Linked DNA regions of Stegostoma tigrinum. The protein of the gene in region 1 interacts with the protein of each later gene in a pairwise test. Links are inferred from orthologs where the notes say so. Each region holds a gene or a part of one and is shown on either strand. Other genes may lie near its edges. The genes, in order: klhl41a and nrap.

The links.
Region 2: the proteins of klhl41a (region 1) and nrap interact in binary tests that used the Homo sapiens proteins (3 or more experiments, as listed by UniProt). The link is inferred for Stegostoma tigrinum from reciprocal best matches to the Homo sapiens genes KLHL41 and NRAP.

Annotation. Positions count from the first base shown.
Region 1 is NC_081360.1:50,273,026-50,281,096, forward strand, and holds the start of klhl41a (kelch-like protein 41a), read left to right. Parts: upstream 1-4,667; 5' UTR 4,668-4,797; coding exon 4,798-5,925; intron 5,926-6,246; coding exon 6,247-6,404; intron 6,405-7,575; coding exon 7,576-7,683; intron 7,684-7,769; coding exon 7,770-7,955; intron 7,956-8,071. UniProt on the Homo sapiens protein: Involved in skeletal muscle development and differentiation. Regulates proliferation and differentiation of myoblasts and plays a role in myofibril assembly by promoting lateral fusion of adjacent thin fibrils into mature, wide myofibrils.
Region 2 is NC_081373.1:23,885,045-23,893,742, reverse strand, and holds the start of nrap (nebulin-related-anchoring protein), read right to left. Parts: upstream 3,416-8,698; 5' UTR 3,293-3,415; coding exon 3,224-3,292; intron 3,131-3,223; coding exon 3,036-3,130; intron 2,695-3,035; coding exon 2,610-2,694; intron 565-2,609; coding exon 460-564; intron 1-459. UniProt on the Homo sapiens protein: May be involved in anchoring the terminal actin filaments in the myofibril to the membrane and in transmitting tension from the myofibrils to the extracellular matrix.

The DNA.
Region 1 (8,071 bases):
GTCCAATGAGTGGCTGAAGCTCCGATATTAATGCCTTTCTGAATCTAATGTAATGTGCTGTATTGCCATTTCTTAATTCTTTCCAGGCTTTCTGCTGTAGAGAAACAATTTCAATGTGTCTGCGTTAACTACACAAAAGAGCGTTGGCCAAGCCCCAGTCTAGGTCAGGCTGTTTTTGCATTAGGTTTGCTTTCCATGTAACATTCCACTCTTCAATTGCTCATTGCCATGTCCAAATAACCCTTAACAGTCAACCTTTAACAACCCAGTTTGGAGATGCCATATTTTAAGGCCAACACCACAATATCTGCTGTCTTTTAAAGCTTAAACTCATTTAGATTTTAGCTAATGCGAAAGAACCCTGATTAATACTAAAAGTGCTCTGCCCAAAGATTTTACTGGAAATGGAGTACTAATAGAAGGAAATCCTTATCTGATTCAGGCAATAATTGGACGGACCAATGCAAGACTTTTTTTTAAAAATCTGATCATTTGAATTATAGATTTGCATTCTGAACATTAACATGAAATTTGAATTTAAAAACAAATACACTGCAATAGAGCTATAATGACATTTCGCTCTCTTACTAAATGATAGTTCAGTAACCTCAACCAAGGGACACTAACTTGCCGCACAGTCCTTTTATCAGTTTGAATTTTGTAGTGGCGGTCATGGTTAAATTGCATGCATTTGCCATCATTACTCCTGTGAAACGTACCGCAACTTTGGGAGCCTGCAAATGCGCAGAATAATGGAGAAATTCAGAAGTTGCTCTGTATTTTTCCAGAGCATGTGCTGTTTACCACCATACTCTATCCCCTCTCCACTTAAGAGTGCATACCCTAAGCAATCAATTAATTGAAGAAACCTTCCATATTCTGTAAAATAAAATCTTAGAAACATTAAATATTGTTGGATGAGATGTGACTGGGCTTTTATGAGAATGCTAAGTTCATAAAAACTGTTTACGTATCCACGCCAATATTGCATCTATCAGTATGTCATTGTTGCTAAAAAAAAGTTCCTTGTATAAAAAGCATGTGTTAATGTCTCAAATATATTTTGGCAGGATTGTCCTTTGAAAAGGTTCATGCACCTTTGCACTGTTCCAGTGATATGGCATCAGGATTTTCTTTTCAATATTAACAACATGGCAATTAAATTGCATTCTTAAAATAGGCACATCAAAGCCACGTGATTCTCTGGAATTAGTAGATAACAAAGCGTATTTTTCCCCATTTTTAAATAAATGAATAATTTCAGGCCTAATGATTTGATAATACAATTTTTGTGTGGCCTTTTGAGATGAAACTGCAAGGGAAGTTTGTTTTTAATTCACTCGTGGGATGTGAATGTTGCTGATTGGCCAGCATTTATTGCCCGGCCCTTGCTGCTCTTGAAAGGAGTGGCTTGCGAGGCCATTTCAGAGGGTGGTTGAAAGTCAACCACATTGTTGTGGATTTGGAGTCCTATGAAGTCCAGGCTGGTTGAGGATGGCAGATTTCCTTCCCTGAAGGACATTAGTGAATCATGTGGGTTTTTCCGACAATTGACAATGATTTCATGGTCATCAGTTGATTCTTAATTGCACATTTTTTATTTTGAATCCAGATTCCACCATCTGCCATGAGAGGATTTGAACCTGGGTCTCCAGAACATTAGCTGAGTTTCTGGATTAATAATCTCACGATAATATCGTGAGGCTGTCACCCCTCCCCCCCACAATATTATATTAAGATCATTTGCATTGTGGACCTTTTGTTAAGAATTTGAATCCTGAAAGATTTTCAAGTGGAAATGTTCTGAGGCAAGAGGAATAACTAGTGTGGAAATTAGACAAAATATCATAACCAAAAATGCTTTTCCTGGCACAGAATTGGAATGGAATAGAGAGATGTTCAATATGAAGCTTCTCGTGTTAATCCTGATTAGGGATATGGAATGTTGCTATTGATATGAAAAGTTGGAAATACTTTATTTTCCTGAGCACTGATGTACCCTCTGTTGAGAAGCAAAAAACAACATATAAATTAAAATTTCAGATTATAGGTGGTATTTGTAAGTGTCAGTCTTCCTCCATGAATTACCTCCTGCGCACTTAAGATTTCTAAATCCACCCTATCCTAATAAATGCCACTGGTTTATTTACATCTTATGTATCTGCACACTTTTTGTATTTATTAATTTCATATCTGCTGAGACATACGTCAGGCATTTTTTTAATATGACTATGATGTGATTTATCACAACCAGGTTATCTTTAGGTGTTCAATTATCAAATGTAGCATCGTTCAATAATAGTGAGAAAAAACAGTATTTTTTAGTTCAATTCCTTAGTAGCAAGACGCCCTAAGACACCTTAGAGTTCGATTTTCAAACAGAATTTGTTGTTTGAGGTCACTGGGGCACCTTAAGAGATATTAGGATAGATAAAAGAGGTAGGTGATAAACGCCTTGAGGGAATAAAGAGGTTTAAAATTGGCGGAGGTGGAATCTCAAAAGCATGCCGACGATGCAATTGCAGGTACGGTAAATAGTGGAGCAAAGAAAATTGCTAAGTGTAGAGTCAAAATCAGAGGAATGCAGATATCCAAGGTACTTATGCAGTTGAAGCTGCTGTTCCTCTCACTCGCTGGTCACGTCCAGAGCGCTCGTTCGTAGCAAGGATCCACGAAAAAGAACGGGTGAATAGGATTTTCCATGATAAAGATCAAAGAGGAAGTGAGGCGGATCAGAGAGTGGCAGAGGCCAACAGTCTGGTGGGTTGGAGTGAGAGGGCCGGCTAAGGGAGCAGCAGAACGTGAGTGGGATGTTTAGCAAGTCTGAGGTTCATGAAGCAAGACTGGTGATGAGCTGGAAGTAAATAGAATGTGCCACATTTCTTTTACCAACGCAGGATCGTAGTAATGAAAAATATTTTAACAAAAGGGGTATAATTTTTTTTAATGATTGTGAAGGTCCTAAGAAATTAGCTGCAACTTTTACTTTGGCTTTAACGAGAAAGTCTGATTCACTTGTATTAGTTTCATGTAAAAATTGCACGTTTCAAGAATACAACGATAATGTTACGTGAAAAATTTCTGCATTTTGCTGACTATAACCCAAACTCCTGTCACGCAATAAACGAGAGTAGCAAAAGCTGTCTTGACAACATGACAGATCTGATACATTAGATGAAGAGTCGGTTGGAAGAGTGTACAGAAGAACAAGACTAGGCTGAACCATTAATGGAAGGGGAATCATTGATGGTCAATGACTTGGAAAAGAAAATTAATCTTTGAAGCTCATTGTTCAGTACAGAGTACAGCCGCATGTCTGGCGGCATCCGTGGAGAGAGGAACGGTTTAGAGACCAATTCCGAACTCGATTCCGAAGAAGTCATCGGACCTGAAACGTTAAGTCTGATTCACTTTTCACAGATGCTACCAGACCTGCTGAGTTTCTCCAGCATCTGCAGTATTTTCCTATGATATGGAAGATCCAAAGACGACATATTCCATTTGAACTACTGAGTTAATAGCACTTAATAAATTATTCATTTCCATTATTAACAATCTTCTAACTATACCCTTGACCACCAAATTATAAAATATTTACTCTCATAACAGTTATATCATACAGTTGCTAAATTTTAAGGATACTAAGATAATGGTATGCGGGGGAAATGAGTCACATTGAGACAAATGTTCAGTTTATGAATAAGGTTGATCAAATGTTAAATCTAAAAACGGCCGTGAGCCAAAATGATGACCACCTGTTCAGCAGTTGACCTTGTTTGTAAAAGACTCCACTGTGAAAGTTACTTGAGGAAAAACAGGGTAATCATAAGCACAGTTTTCGAGCAATTAATCACGTCTCTTAGGTGGGTTTGGGATTTATAAAAGTTTAAAATATTCCCAAGGTGAGTTCTTAGTTCCAAAATAGGTTGTGGGAAATGATTTTGTTTCCATTTCATGTAAATTCGTCAATTACCTTTTGTTTTTAAGAAATATTTGTGAAGTATAGATATATTTGACAAAGAAATCCATTCTACCCATAATAAAAACGAAATCATACCCTTCAAATGTGCAAATAATATGAAGACGTGTGATTTAAAATGGCAGTATGAGAGATTATATACTGTTGTACTAACTTGTAATGCAGTCATAATTTGACTATAACATTGTGCCATTAAATTTATTTTGAAAATTTTGACATCGATCCTTGGAATTCTTAAAAATAGAATCAGAACCCAAAAAAAACACGTGATTAAATGGTGGAAGCTGAATGAGTGAGTTGCGATTTGAAGAATCTCTTTGAGAATTTAGTGGAAGGGTTGATTCCGTAATTTGTGATATTCATAGCTGTGAGACACACTAGCCATGACGCTGTCTCAATATGATAAAAATAACTAAATGTAATTTCCTTAGTAATCGCTCCCGATAGTGATTGCCTATCCCGTTTAACTCCTAAGCTGGTCACGGTTGTTTCATAAAAATAAAATCCGAAAGAACTGTGGATGCTGTAAATCAGGAACAAAAACTAAGTTGCCGTTCTGAGGAAGGGTCACCCGACCCAAAACGTTAATTTTTTTTTCCTTCACAGTTGTTTCTTTCCGTCTGCAGCAGCTGCCAAATTGCGGTCCACATTCCACACTGGTTAACCTGGATTCCAGCATGTACGGTGTCTCTATATTTAGCCTGTGGAGTTAAATTACAAACTCTTCAAGTGCGGCAAGCCACTGCGTTCTGCCTTTTCAGGCGAACCCGAGTAAAGTGAACGCTACCCGCTCCCTCTGCCTTCGCAGTTTCCTCACCATGGACCCTCGGAAAGAATCAAGGGAAGAATCTCGGCTGTACCAAACCACGCTGCTGCAGGACGGACTGAAAAATTTACTGGATGAAAACAAATTTGTGGATTGTTCCCTGAAGGTGGGAAATAAATTATTTCCCTGCCACCGACTAATCCTGGCAGCTTGCAGCCCTTACTTCCGTGAGTATTTCTTTTCAGATGTAAGTGAGGAAAAGAAACGTGAGGTGGTTTTGGAAGATGTCGATGAAAGTGTCGTGGATATGATCTTGAAGTATCTGTATTCCTCTGAGATAGAACTGACCGATGAGAACGTGCAAAATATTTTTGCTGCGTCCAGCCGCTTTCAGATCCCCTCTGTTTTCACACTCTGTGTCACCTATCTTCAAGAAAAGTTATCTACTAGCAACTGTTTGGCGATATTCAGGCTAGGACTCCTTCTGGACTGTCCCCGGCTTGCTGTTGCTGCCCGTGAATATGCGTCCGCTCGTTTTGAACAAATCTGTAATGATGAAGATTTTATGCAACTGGCTTCTCATGAGCTTATCAGCATCATTGCGAATGACGCTTTAAACGTGGTGAAAGAAGAAACTGTATTTGAAGCTGTAGTAAGATGGGTCCGGAAGGACAAAGAGACCAGGGTCAAAAGTTTAGGAGAAATCTTTGATTGCATTCGTTTTCGTCTCATGACTGAGAAATATATCAAAGACCAGGTCGAAAAAAATGACATTATTAAGTCTAATCCAGATCTATTGAAGAAGGTGCAGGTGATTAAAGATGCTTTTGGAGGAAAACTTCCCAAGCCTGAGGCAGGTAGTAACAAGAGCGCAAAGAAAGGAGAAGGCGGTGAAGATCTAGCTAACGGCGATGTAGGAGACGAAGATCTGCTCCCTGGTTTTCTGAATGACATTCCCAGGCATGGCATGTTCGTCAAGGAAATGATCATGTTAATTAATGACACAGTGGCGGTGGCATATGATCCAAACCTAAATCAATGCTTTCTGGTTGCAGTGGGTGATCAGATCCCCAAAAACCATGTTAGTTTGGTTACAAAGGGAAACCAAATTTTTGTTGTCGGTGGGTTGTACGTGGATGAAGAAGTTAAAGAACAGCCCTACCACTGCTATTTCTATCAGGTACTCGTAGATCTATCGAACTGTGAAATCATATAATATGTTCAGCTTTGTTTCAGAAAACGTGATTGTAATTGTTAATTTAGTTCACCAATTTTCAAAATCATTCCAAGTTTACTTATTTAAAAAATGTAAGCAACTACTTCCATTTCAATGTAGTCTCTTCCCTGCTGTTTAAAAATAGATATTGTGCAAAATATGATAATTTTATGAATTGCGTGCTCCACCTCAAATTCCTATCAAATCTCATCGGATTTCTGAATACGTTTGATATAAATATATCGAGAATCGGTCACAATTAAACTGGCTTTTCCGACGCTTTAGTTTGACAGTATCGCTAGTGAATGGAATGGCTTGCCACCGCTGCCTTCAGCTAGATGCCTCTTCGGTCTGGGAGAAACAGAAAACTTTCTTTATGTGATTGGTGGCAAGGATCTTCCAAACGAGCAGTCATTGGATTCAGTATTTTGCTACGATATGAAGTAAGTAAATCCAGATTATTTGCATGTTAACAAAATGTTATTTTTAAATTATTTTGTAGCAACTTCTAACAAAATGCTGCTCCAAACCAGTATAGTTAATCAGAACCATGCTTTCACAGAAATATTGTACAGTATACCACTCAGTGCCATTACAGTTATAATTTAATACCAACAGTGAGCATATCAAATTCAGTCAGAATACAAGGACTGTCAATGAGATTATAGGTCCCGTCTAAAATAGTTTACCCTCCATTAGCTCATTTAAATAGACCTACCGTCATATTGGTTGAGTCAGTTCTGGGAACAGACTGCAATGGTAACTTGTTGCAAGGATAGTAGGAACTGCCGATGCTGGAGAATCTGAGATAACAAGATGTAGAGCTGGATGAACACAGCAGGCCAAGCAGCATCGCAGCAGGAAAGCTAACGTTTCGGGTCGAGACCCTAAGGTCTCCGCTTTCCTGCTCCTCTGATGCTGCTTGGCCTGCTGCGTTCATCCAGCTCTACACCGTGTTATCTCAGTATTGTAACTTGTATGTCATGTGACATTCACAAAGCATGATTAGAATCAGAATAGGAAAATTCGTCAGATAATGATGACCCAATATCATCTCTGTTGTTCAGTTTTTGAACAAGACACTTAGATCCCCTGTGTCCAATGTTCATTGTTTTATTAGACTTGCACATTAGAGTTTAGCTTTGAGTTCAGGTGAGTTTTCAACGAATGTAGTGTCGAAAGATTTCACGTTATTTAATTTCAATTCCAATATTGGGAAAGCCAGAGACAAGTTGCTCCAAGTTTTCATTTTCCACCACTCAGGACAATTGTATGAATGCTTCCTCTCCACAAATGCTGCAAGAACCTGCTGTGCATTTCCAAAAAAAAATCTGATTTTATGTATACACGTTGCTCAATTGTATGCAGAATGTCTTTTCAATTGACAGCAATATTATTGTCAGTGATAAATGACACTTGTACGGCCCTTGTATTTATGGCACTGTGAAATGGCTTGTTTAGGCTATTTTAAAACTTAAAGGTGTCGTTCCACTATTATTTGAGGCAATCACCTTCTGCAATTTTCAGCATATTCATGAACAAAAACGTAATTTTTAAAACAGGTAAACATTGAAGAATGATGAATACAATTTAAAAAAATGCATTTTTTTTCAGCAAACTAAAATGGAATGAATCCAAAGCATTCCCGTTTAAGATTTATGGCCACTCTGTGGTTTCACATAATGGATTAATCTATGTTATTGGCGGGAAGACTGATGACGCGTAAGTAATTCATACATTTCCTATATTATGCATTAGTTCTAGACTGTCATGACTGATTTACTCAATCATTTTTAATTTAACCACAGCAAATGCATCAACAAATTGTTTGTCTACAATCCCAAAAAATCTGAGTGGAGGGAACTGCGAGCTATGAAGACAGCACGTGCCATGTTTGGAGCTGCTCTCCATCAAAACAGAATCTGGGTTGTTGGAGGAGTCACTGATGACGGCCTGGCAGCTGCAGTTGAAGCATATGACATAATGAATAATAAGTGAGTATAATCAAACAGAATATCAAACATACTGGAAATGTGATTTTGTTAACATTTAAGAAAGTTAAGTTGCTGGAATCTGCAATTATGAGTGAAAGACGAGAAGCACAGTATTA
Region 2 (8,698 bases), on another chromosome or scaffold:
TGAATAATCTGACAATATGTTAGGCTGTAGCTGCCCATATCTCTGTAGCTGACTTTGCCAAGGTTTGTTGAATAATGTGGTGGACCAACAATTTTGGAAGCCTTCAGCAAACCCACCCATCCACACAATGGTCTCACATCAAGTCTTCCTGGCCTCATCAGGCACAGATGCACCAAGCATAGGATTATTGCCAATGAAAGAGGGCTTGTAATGTGGGAATTTGATGCCCTTGTCCCTAACTCACACAACCTCTTATTCTGATGGCTTGAAAAGGATGTTTCAAGACTCAGCCCTGCAAGACTATCCTGAAAATTAGCTAATGACCATTCTCATGAACTCCTATCAACATTATGGCAGGAGTCCAACAGAATAGTCACAGATTCTTGGGGAAAAATATAATTAAATATTGATTTTGTTGCATATGACACTTAAGTTTTACAATACCTTCAGGCTGCTTACCTTACTTGCAAGTCTCCCAGCCTTACAGGCATGCTCCAGCTGCTTCGACTTTATATCCCAATGAAAAACTGATTTGAATTTTTCAGCTTCCTCGCGATACTTAATCTAAGTACAAAAGTTCAGTGGACATTTTATGATACTGGATTTTAAAACCGACTGTATCAGCACTTGGAAGATTTAAGCCATGGGTAATGCAGCTTGTGAATTTGTTACTTTTTTCCTTTATCTTTCCCACCTTTTTACTGAATGTTTCTTAATTGTTTTTCTTTTCCTGGTCAGCCTCTTCAAAGTTCGATATTTTCACATCAACAACAATCAAAAGCTTCTCGTCAACTTCTCATAGATTGGGTCCCCTCCTCAAGTAATACAGGAATCAAGTTGCATGCGTTAAGGTGAACCAGCATTACAGGGCTGAAAGCAAAAAGTGCTGAAGATCACAGTAGGTCAGGCAGCATCCATGGAGAGAAAGAACACTCACATTTTGAGTCTAGATGACTCTTCATCGGAGCCGAAGATGAAGAGTTATCTAGATTTGAAACATTAGCTTGCTTTCTCTCCATGGCCCAGTGTGGTCTCCAGCATCTTTTGTTTGCAGTACTGACTCCAGCATCTGCAGTAATTCGCTCCTACAGCTTTACAGGGTGACAGGCATTCAACACAGCTTCATCTTGTCCTTATTATCATCACAATAAGTACATCATGGTGTCCCAAGAGATTAAGTATGAAAGTTCACTCCAGACTCACGAAAGCAACAAGAAGCTGCAGATTGGCTAAATAAAGAACAGTTTAAAGTGTGAGATAATAAGAACTGCCGATGCCGGAGTCAGAGATGACAGTGTGAAGTTGGAAGAACACAGCAGGTCAGGCAGCATCAGAGCAACAGGAAAGTTAATGTTTCGGGTCGGTTCCCCTCTTCAGAAAAAAAACAACAAAGGGTTCCAACCCAAAACATCAACTTTCCTGCTCCTCTGATACTGCCTGACCTGCTGTGTTCCTCCAGCTCCACGCTGTGTTATCGCATAGTTTAAACTGTAGTGTTTAAGTTTCTTTGTAATTGCACAATATGTGCAGCTATCATAATATGCACACTTTTCTTTCTCTTTCTATGCAGTATCCTCATTGTCCAAGGGTTTCTAAATCGTGGTTCATGCTAGATGCCAATGGGTAAGGCAAGCCCTAAGAATGATCTCAGTTGCAAGTGAAGTTGAACCTACATTATATACCATTCACTGGCCATCCAGCCAACCAAGTTAACAAGCAAAACATGTTCAGTTACTGGTATCAATCAGAATGTATGTTGAATAGAATAACAGGTTTGATTTTTCTTTTGTTTTTAAAAGTTATCATGAATAAAACCTGGAAATTTAGGAACACAATAGGAGAATGGTTTATGCCTGTGGAATCCTTATATAAACTAAAAGCACAAATTCTCCATGCTACTGAAGTACAAATTCTACCAAAATATTGAATTCAACAAGGCAAGACTAAAATCAAAATAAAATGTTGGGATTTCAGAAGAAAAATAACTTGATAAATTTGATGATGGCGAAGTAAAGGGAGTAACTATCTCTGTCTTGCAAACATAACATTAACAGTACAAACATCCATCCATGTGCCTGACATGACAAGTTAAGACTTAAAAAGTCAGTTTGTATATCTTCAAGACTAGCTTATTAAGGGTCAGTTTAATCTAAAATGTTGCGGAAGTTGTGTTCAATAACTTTGGACCAATTTGTCACTCGTGATTAAAAGCAACAGAATATGGTGCAGTGCAGGGGAAATGGACGGCCAGCATTTAGAGGACTGTAATTTTAACCTCCACATGAAGTTGAAGCACAAGCAGCGAGGTGTCACAGTTGCTGTCCAGAAATAGATGTTGCTGTAACAGGCTTCATTCCAAAGCCTAGTTGTCACCAAGATTAAAAGAAAATATATCAAACACTCTGCAAAACATGTGAACCATATGAGATCTAGGTCATTTAATCATTAGTTATGGTTAAACAACTGCTTTATCAACTGAATTGAAGTGAAAGAAAAACATGTTGTACTTAGGGACAGGCTATTCAGTCTTTTAGTTATGCCCGGTGGTCTTGGATGATGTATTATGAGAATAATATGTACTGCTCCCATTTTTAGTGCCAGTTACCCACCTCACTGGACTCGCTTTGTTTTTTCACATTCAGGTTCAGGGGTGTATCTAGTACGCTGGTAAATTTGTTGACTTTAGGATTGTGCCTGCGAATTAAAGTAAACATTGCCACCAATTTACAATCAAAAAAAAATCAAATGAATTTTCTACTAATTTCACTCAGGTTGCTGCAGACAGATATCTTCAAACATACAGAGTGCTCCTACTATGAATAATTTTTACAAGTGTTGTCGTATAAATCTCTACATCTAAAATCAGACCAGTGACACTTACAGTGTTCACTGTAGAAACAGAAGAAATATTCAATAACCTTGCATTTTTCATTGTTCCATTTGAATATATTTAAGTGTAAATTAATATTGAGTCATAAAAGCCCTTTAGTACGATTGGTCCAACTAAGTTTTCATTAACTTTTAAAATGACTCACGCCTGACAGTATGGTTTCTTCTGGTGACTGATAAAATTGTTGACCGTTAAGATCATTTTGCAGACCTCACAGTGGAAACAGGACTTATGCCAGGTCTGTAGGTAACAAAATAAACACTTTATTAACCGGGCCAAACTTTCAATTTTAAACACATATCTGACATTCAAGGAAATTTCAGCATCACTCACCTGGTCTATGCAGACTATTTTCTCGGCAGGATAGACGCCAAAACCACAGCGAGCGCACGGTTTATTCATTTTCAAACAGTATTTTTGTTATTCAAAAGCAAGCCGCGATACGTTTCCTTTTTATTTCCTTCTCCGTGGTCTGTTTCTGAGCTGTGCTACTTGTGATCTCGCCTGGACTAGAACCTGCCACCAGCAGTCAGCCCCTTCATTTCAGGATTAATCAAGTCCCGCCTCCTCTCCTTGGCCATTGGATCCAGACACCTATTTCTAAGCTCTGAACTCCACAACTCCAGTCGACTTTGGTTACCAGGGCTGTCAATCACAAAGCTTGTATCAGGTTTAAGTTTGGAGGGTGACTGGTGTTTAATGCCTCAGTCCCAAAATAGCAATATTCCACTAAATATGTATTGATGTCAGCTATAAGGTAAAAGGGGACTGGCAACATTTTATCAATCTAGATCATCAACTTTCCAAAAGCAAATCAACACTTTGCAGCACAAAATAAAAGAACGAACTGAGGATGCTGGGAATCCGAAACAAAAACAGAAATTGCTGGAGAAACTCAGCTGGTCTGGCGGCATTCATGGGTAGAAAAGAGTTAACGATTCCAGTCTAGTGTCCTTCTTCAGAATATCGGATTTTCCTTGCAGCACAGTGTCTGTAACTGTGAATTTTCTGTTGGCAGTCCAAAATATTTTTTGCTGTTTAAAGCAACACAAACTGTTACGATGAACAGCTAAGGATCCTGGGATTGTATTCATTAGAGTTTAGAAGGTTGAGGGGAGATCTAATAGAAACTTACAAGATATTGTATGGCTTAGAAAGGGTGGACGCTGGGAAGTTGTTTCCGTTAAGGGGGGACTAGGACACGTGGGCACAGCCTTAGAATTAGGGGGGGTCGATTTAAATCGGAAATGGGGAGACATTTCTTCAGCCAGAGAGTGGTGGGCTTGTGGAATTCATTGCCACGGAACGCAAAGAAGGCCAGGACGTTAAATGTCTTTAGGGCGGAGACTGATAAATTCTTGATCTCACAAGGAATTAAGGGCTGGGGGGAGAGTGCAGGGAAGTGGAGTTGAAATGCCCATCAGCCATGATTAAATGGCGGGGTGGATTCTATGGGCTGAATGGCCTTACTTCCACTCCTATGTTTTATGGTCTTATGGTCTTATGTATTACACATTGTTGTTGTCATACACATCTTTAAAAATAAAGTGAGTGTACATCATAAACCGATTCCTTTATACAGCTATACATTTGGTTATCAAGTGGATGTTTTCACAAATGTACAATCCTGCATTGATGTTGTTACTGACAAGGTTATGAACACCACCACACATCTGCCTGGAATGTCATCTCCACAAAATCAGCCTCAAAACATCAGTAAAGGCAAAGATAACACAGTGTGGAGGTGGAGGAACACAGCAGGCCAGGCAGCATCAGAGGAACAGGAAAACTGACGTTTCGGGTCAGGACCCTCCCTCATTTTCTGAAAAAGGATCCCGACCCGAAACGTCAGCTTTCCTCTCCTCTGATGCGGCCTGGCCTGCTAAAGGAGGGTCCTGAAGCAAAACGTCAGTTTTCCTGCTCCTCTGATGCTGCCTGGCCTGCTGTGCCCATCCAGCTCCACACTGCGTTATCCACACTGACTCCAGCGTCAGCAGTTCTTACTATCTCTGAGTAAAGGCAAAGGGCTGAGAAAAGAAATAAAACTGGTCCCAACAACTCAATCCCTGACAGTATTCAGTTCTTAAAAAACTTTCCATTTATATTCTACAGTGATTTCATCACTGCCCTTAAACTTAACCTGATAACTGCTTTGTATGTTCAAGATTTCCATAACATTCAAGGCTATGGGCCTATTACAGGAAAGTGAGACTAGTGTAGTTGGTAGTATGTTTTTGGCAGTACAGATTTGATGGGCCAAAGGGCCTTTTCTGGACTATATGATGCCATGATTCTCCCATGTTAATACTTAGGCGATGGAACAGAAAGTCACATATCCAGATTTACTGTTGGCATAGGGATGGATGGCACTATAAAAATGTATTGAGAGTTAAGTGAATGAGAGAAACTGTGGCAAATGGATTTAAATGGATTTGAATGTAAGAGTTGTACAACATCTTCCTTTCTAAATGGTGAGAAATTAAAAATAATGGATGTTCATAGAAACTTGGGTGTCTAGGGTAAATAGATCATTAAAATACCTTGACAGGTGCCAGACTATAAACAAAAAGGCTAATGAATATTGATCTTTGTATCTAAATGATAAAACAGGGCAGAAGTCATGTTTCAGCTTTACAAAGCCGTGATTAGACCACATCTTGAGGAAAAGAACTGTTCTGGGTATTACATCTTAAAAAGTATATAGTGAATTGGAAGGAAATTGACCAAAATGATACCTGGGCTCCAAGCAGTAAATTACAACATAACAACATCCCTTGGAACCAAAAAGGTCAAAGGATGGTTTGTTCTACATTTTGAAATTCTGAAGGGGAACCGACAGAACAGATAAGGAAAAATCATTTTGCTGATTGGAGAGTATATGTCAAGGCAGAATAGTCAAACAATTAGTGCCAAAACTGAAAATAAAATATACTTTTACACATCAAGGGTGTTTAAAGCCACACAAACTGTATCATACATTGTTGTTTGTGTACATGTCTTTAAAAATAAAGTGAGTGTATATCGTAAATTCAAACATGTTTGGAGTATTTTCCTCCAAATAAAAATTATGCTGGTGACTTAATTAATTTTAAGTCTGAGATCTTTTTTCATCACCTAAAGGTGCTAAAGATCAGAGTTGCCCTGCTGATCAGCCATACCTTAATTAAATGCTGAAACAAACAGTCTCAAAGGCAGAAGAGACTCATCCTGATTCTATATGTTCCTAAGTGATTAATAAAGCTGCTATTTCACTTTAAAACACAAATGACATCAATAATCTATTCAAGATCTATGTTCATATTTTGTGGCATCAGTATAACTCTTTACTCACCAGCGGTCTATAGTGCTGCACATATGTCATTCTTAAATTCTTTCTCAAAGAACTAAAAGGAATGATTTTAGAAGTTGAATACATTTTAACTTCACCACTTATCACAGAGGCTAAAATAAATCTTGAATTAAAGTGTTAAGTATGATAAATCTGAGAATGTTTAGAATTATAAATTGAATAAAATCACCAGCTGTATTATCTCATCAACCTGTTAAGACCTGGAGTAGGTAGTACTTGAATCCAGGGTCTCCTGGTCCAGAGGTAGGGGCACTACAATGTACCACAAGAGCCCATTCACCAGTAAATACGCTATTTTTAATTCGAAATAGCGGATGGTAATTTAAACTCTGTGATCTAATTATGGAACTCAGCTGATGTCCATGGCTTTGATTTCATTGTCTGATGTCATCCAAACTCCTTAGTAAGTTACTGCCTTACATTTCATTGCCTTCCATCTATTTTTATATGTATATAGTTAAACTAACATTGCTGTACTTTTAAAATGATTGAATAATTAGGAAGATGACAAGATACACACAAATCAAGTTTACCTGATTGCTTGGCATGAACGTGTATGTTTCGACAGAATCTGCAGGATAGGACTTTAAAGATCAGCGTTGGAAAATTATAATATGGTGAATGGTGGTCATTCTAATGTTGTTATTAAAGATTCAGTTTTTTTCCAATGTGCTTTCAAAGGATTCTAATTAGTATAATTGTAGATGCACATTTCTTGGTGAGAGGTCAGTATGAGACCAGCAGAGACTGAATGACATCAGTGATTCTGCAACATCACTTCAGTGCTTAAGATGTGAGCAACTGACTTTCAAGCATCAATTTTGTGAATGGCAATGCAGATGAACCATCTGTTATTACTTATATTTTGAGGGTGAATGCACATTTTGGAAACTTGTAAATAGATAAAAGTTTTAGCAAAGACGATGTTAAGAAAGCACAATTGTTGCTCACAGATGCAACCACTTACCAACAGGTGACAATAGACCCAACACTGCAGCTCGTTAATAGGATCACCCAGACAGAGGAGACGAGAGGATGCAGGACAGATAACTAAGACAGACCACATGAGAATGAAACCAGAAGGCACAAATACTCCCCCACTTCTATGGGCGTCCTAAAGTACACCAACCAGATCCCCCACAGACCCATTGTTTCCGTATCAGACACATCTTCACACAAACCGGCCAGGGACCTACAGCAGACACTGAAACACCTAGCCGATGTTGGATCATCCTATTCTATCCATTCAATCCAAGAATTCCCTCAAGAACACAAAAATCAGCAACAAGAATGCGGTATCCTTTGATGTCACAGCTTTATTCACATCAATCAACATCCCACTAGCCAAAGAAATACTGGCCACATTATCACTGGAAGCAGGAACGCAGACCAGCAGTTCCATCAGCAAGGGCAACATACCCTCAAACTATTAGATCCATGCCTCACCACACACTTCGTCTTTAATGAGCAAGTACACAACCAGATCAGCATTACACCAATGGGGTCACCCATCTCTGCACTCACTGCAGAAGCAGTCATGCAAAGATTAGAAAACACAATCCTCCCCCACATTCAACCTAAACTGTGAATCCAGTACGTAGATGACACATTTGTCATTATTAAACACAACAAGTTAGAAGAGAACCATCACCTCATCAACAGGTATTCACAGGGATTAAATTCACAAGGGAACAAGAAAACAACAATCAACTTCCACTTCTGTTCGTCAAAGTTGAGCGCATGACCAATGGGGAATTCCAAACCTCGATACACAGAAAGGCAACCCATACTGATCAAATCCTCAACCTCCATAGCAACCACCCCAACTACCACAAATAAAGCTGTGTTAGGACACTACTTAAACAGGTCACGACACACTGCAACACTTCAGAACTGAGCAGCAAAGAGGAAGAGCACCTACAGATATGGTCAGATATCACTCCAACTTCATCTGCAGATGCCTACTAAATAGACAACAACAGGAGTGCACAGAACGCCCTAACACACTGGCCACACTGCCCTACATCAGGAAAATATCAGAACCGACAACAAGACTCCTAAGACCTCTCAGAATCATGATAACCCACAAGCCCACAGCCACTCTCAGGCAAACACTACGAGGATTAAAGACATCATTCTGACAACATGCAGAACCAATGTTGTTTTACAAAATACCATGCAACGACTGCCCACAAACATTACATCGAACAGATAGGAAGGAAGCTAGCCAGCCATCAGAATTCCTGAACATCAGCTAGCAGCAAAACGACACGACAAATTCTCCTTAATATCAGTACACTCAAACAATGAAGGCCATCAGTTTAACTGGGACAATGTAACCAAAGTAGCCCGAGCCAAACATACACTTGCGTGGGAATTCTTAGAGGCATGGTTCTGAGCCTGTAATGCTGATCAATAAACATATAGAATTGGACCCCATATACAAACCCACACAGATC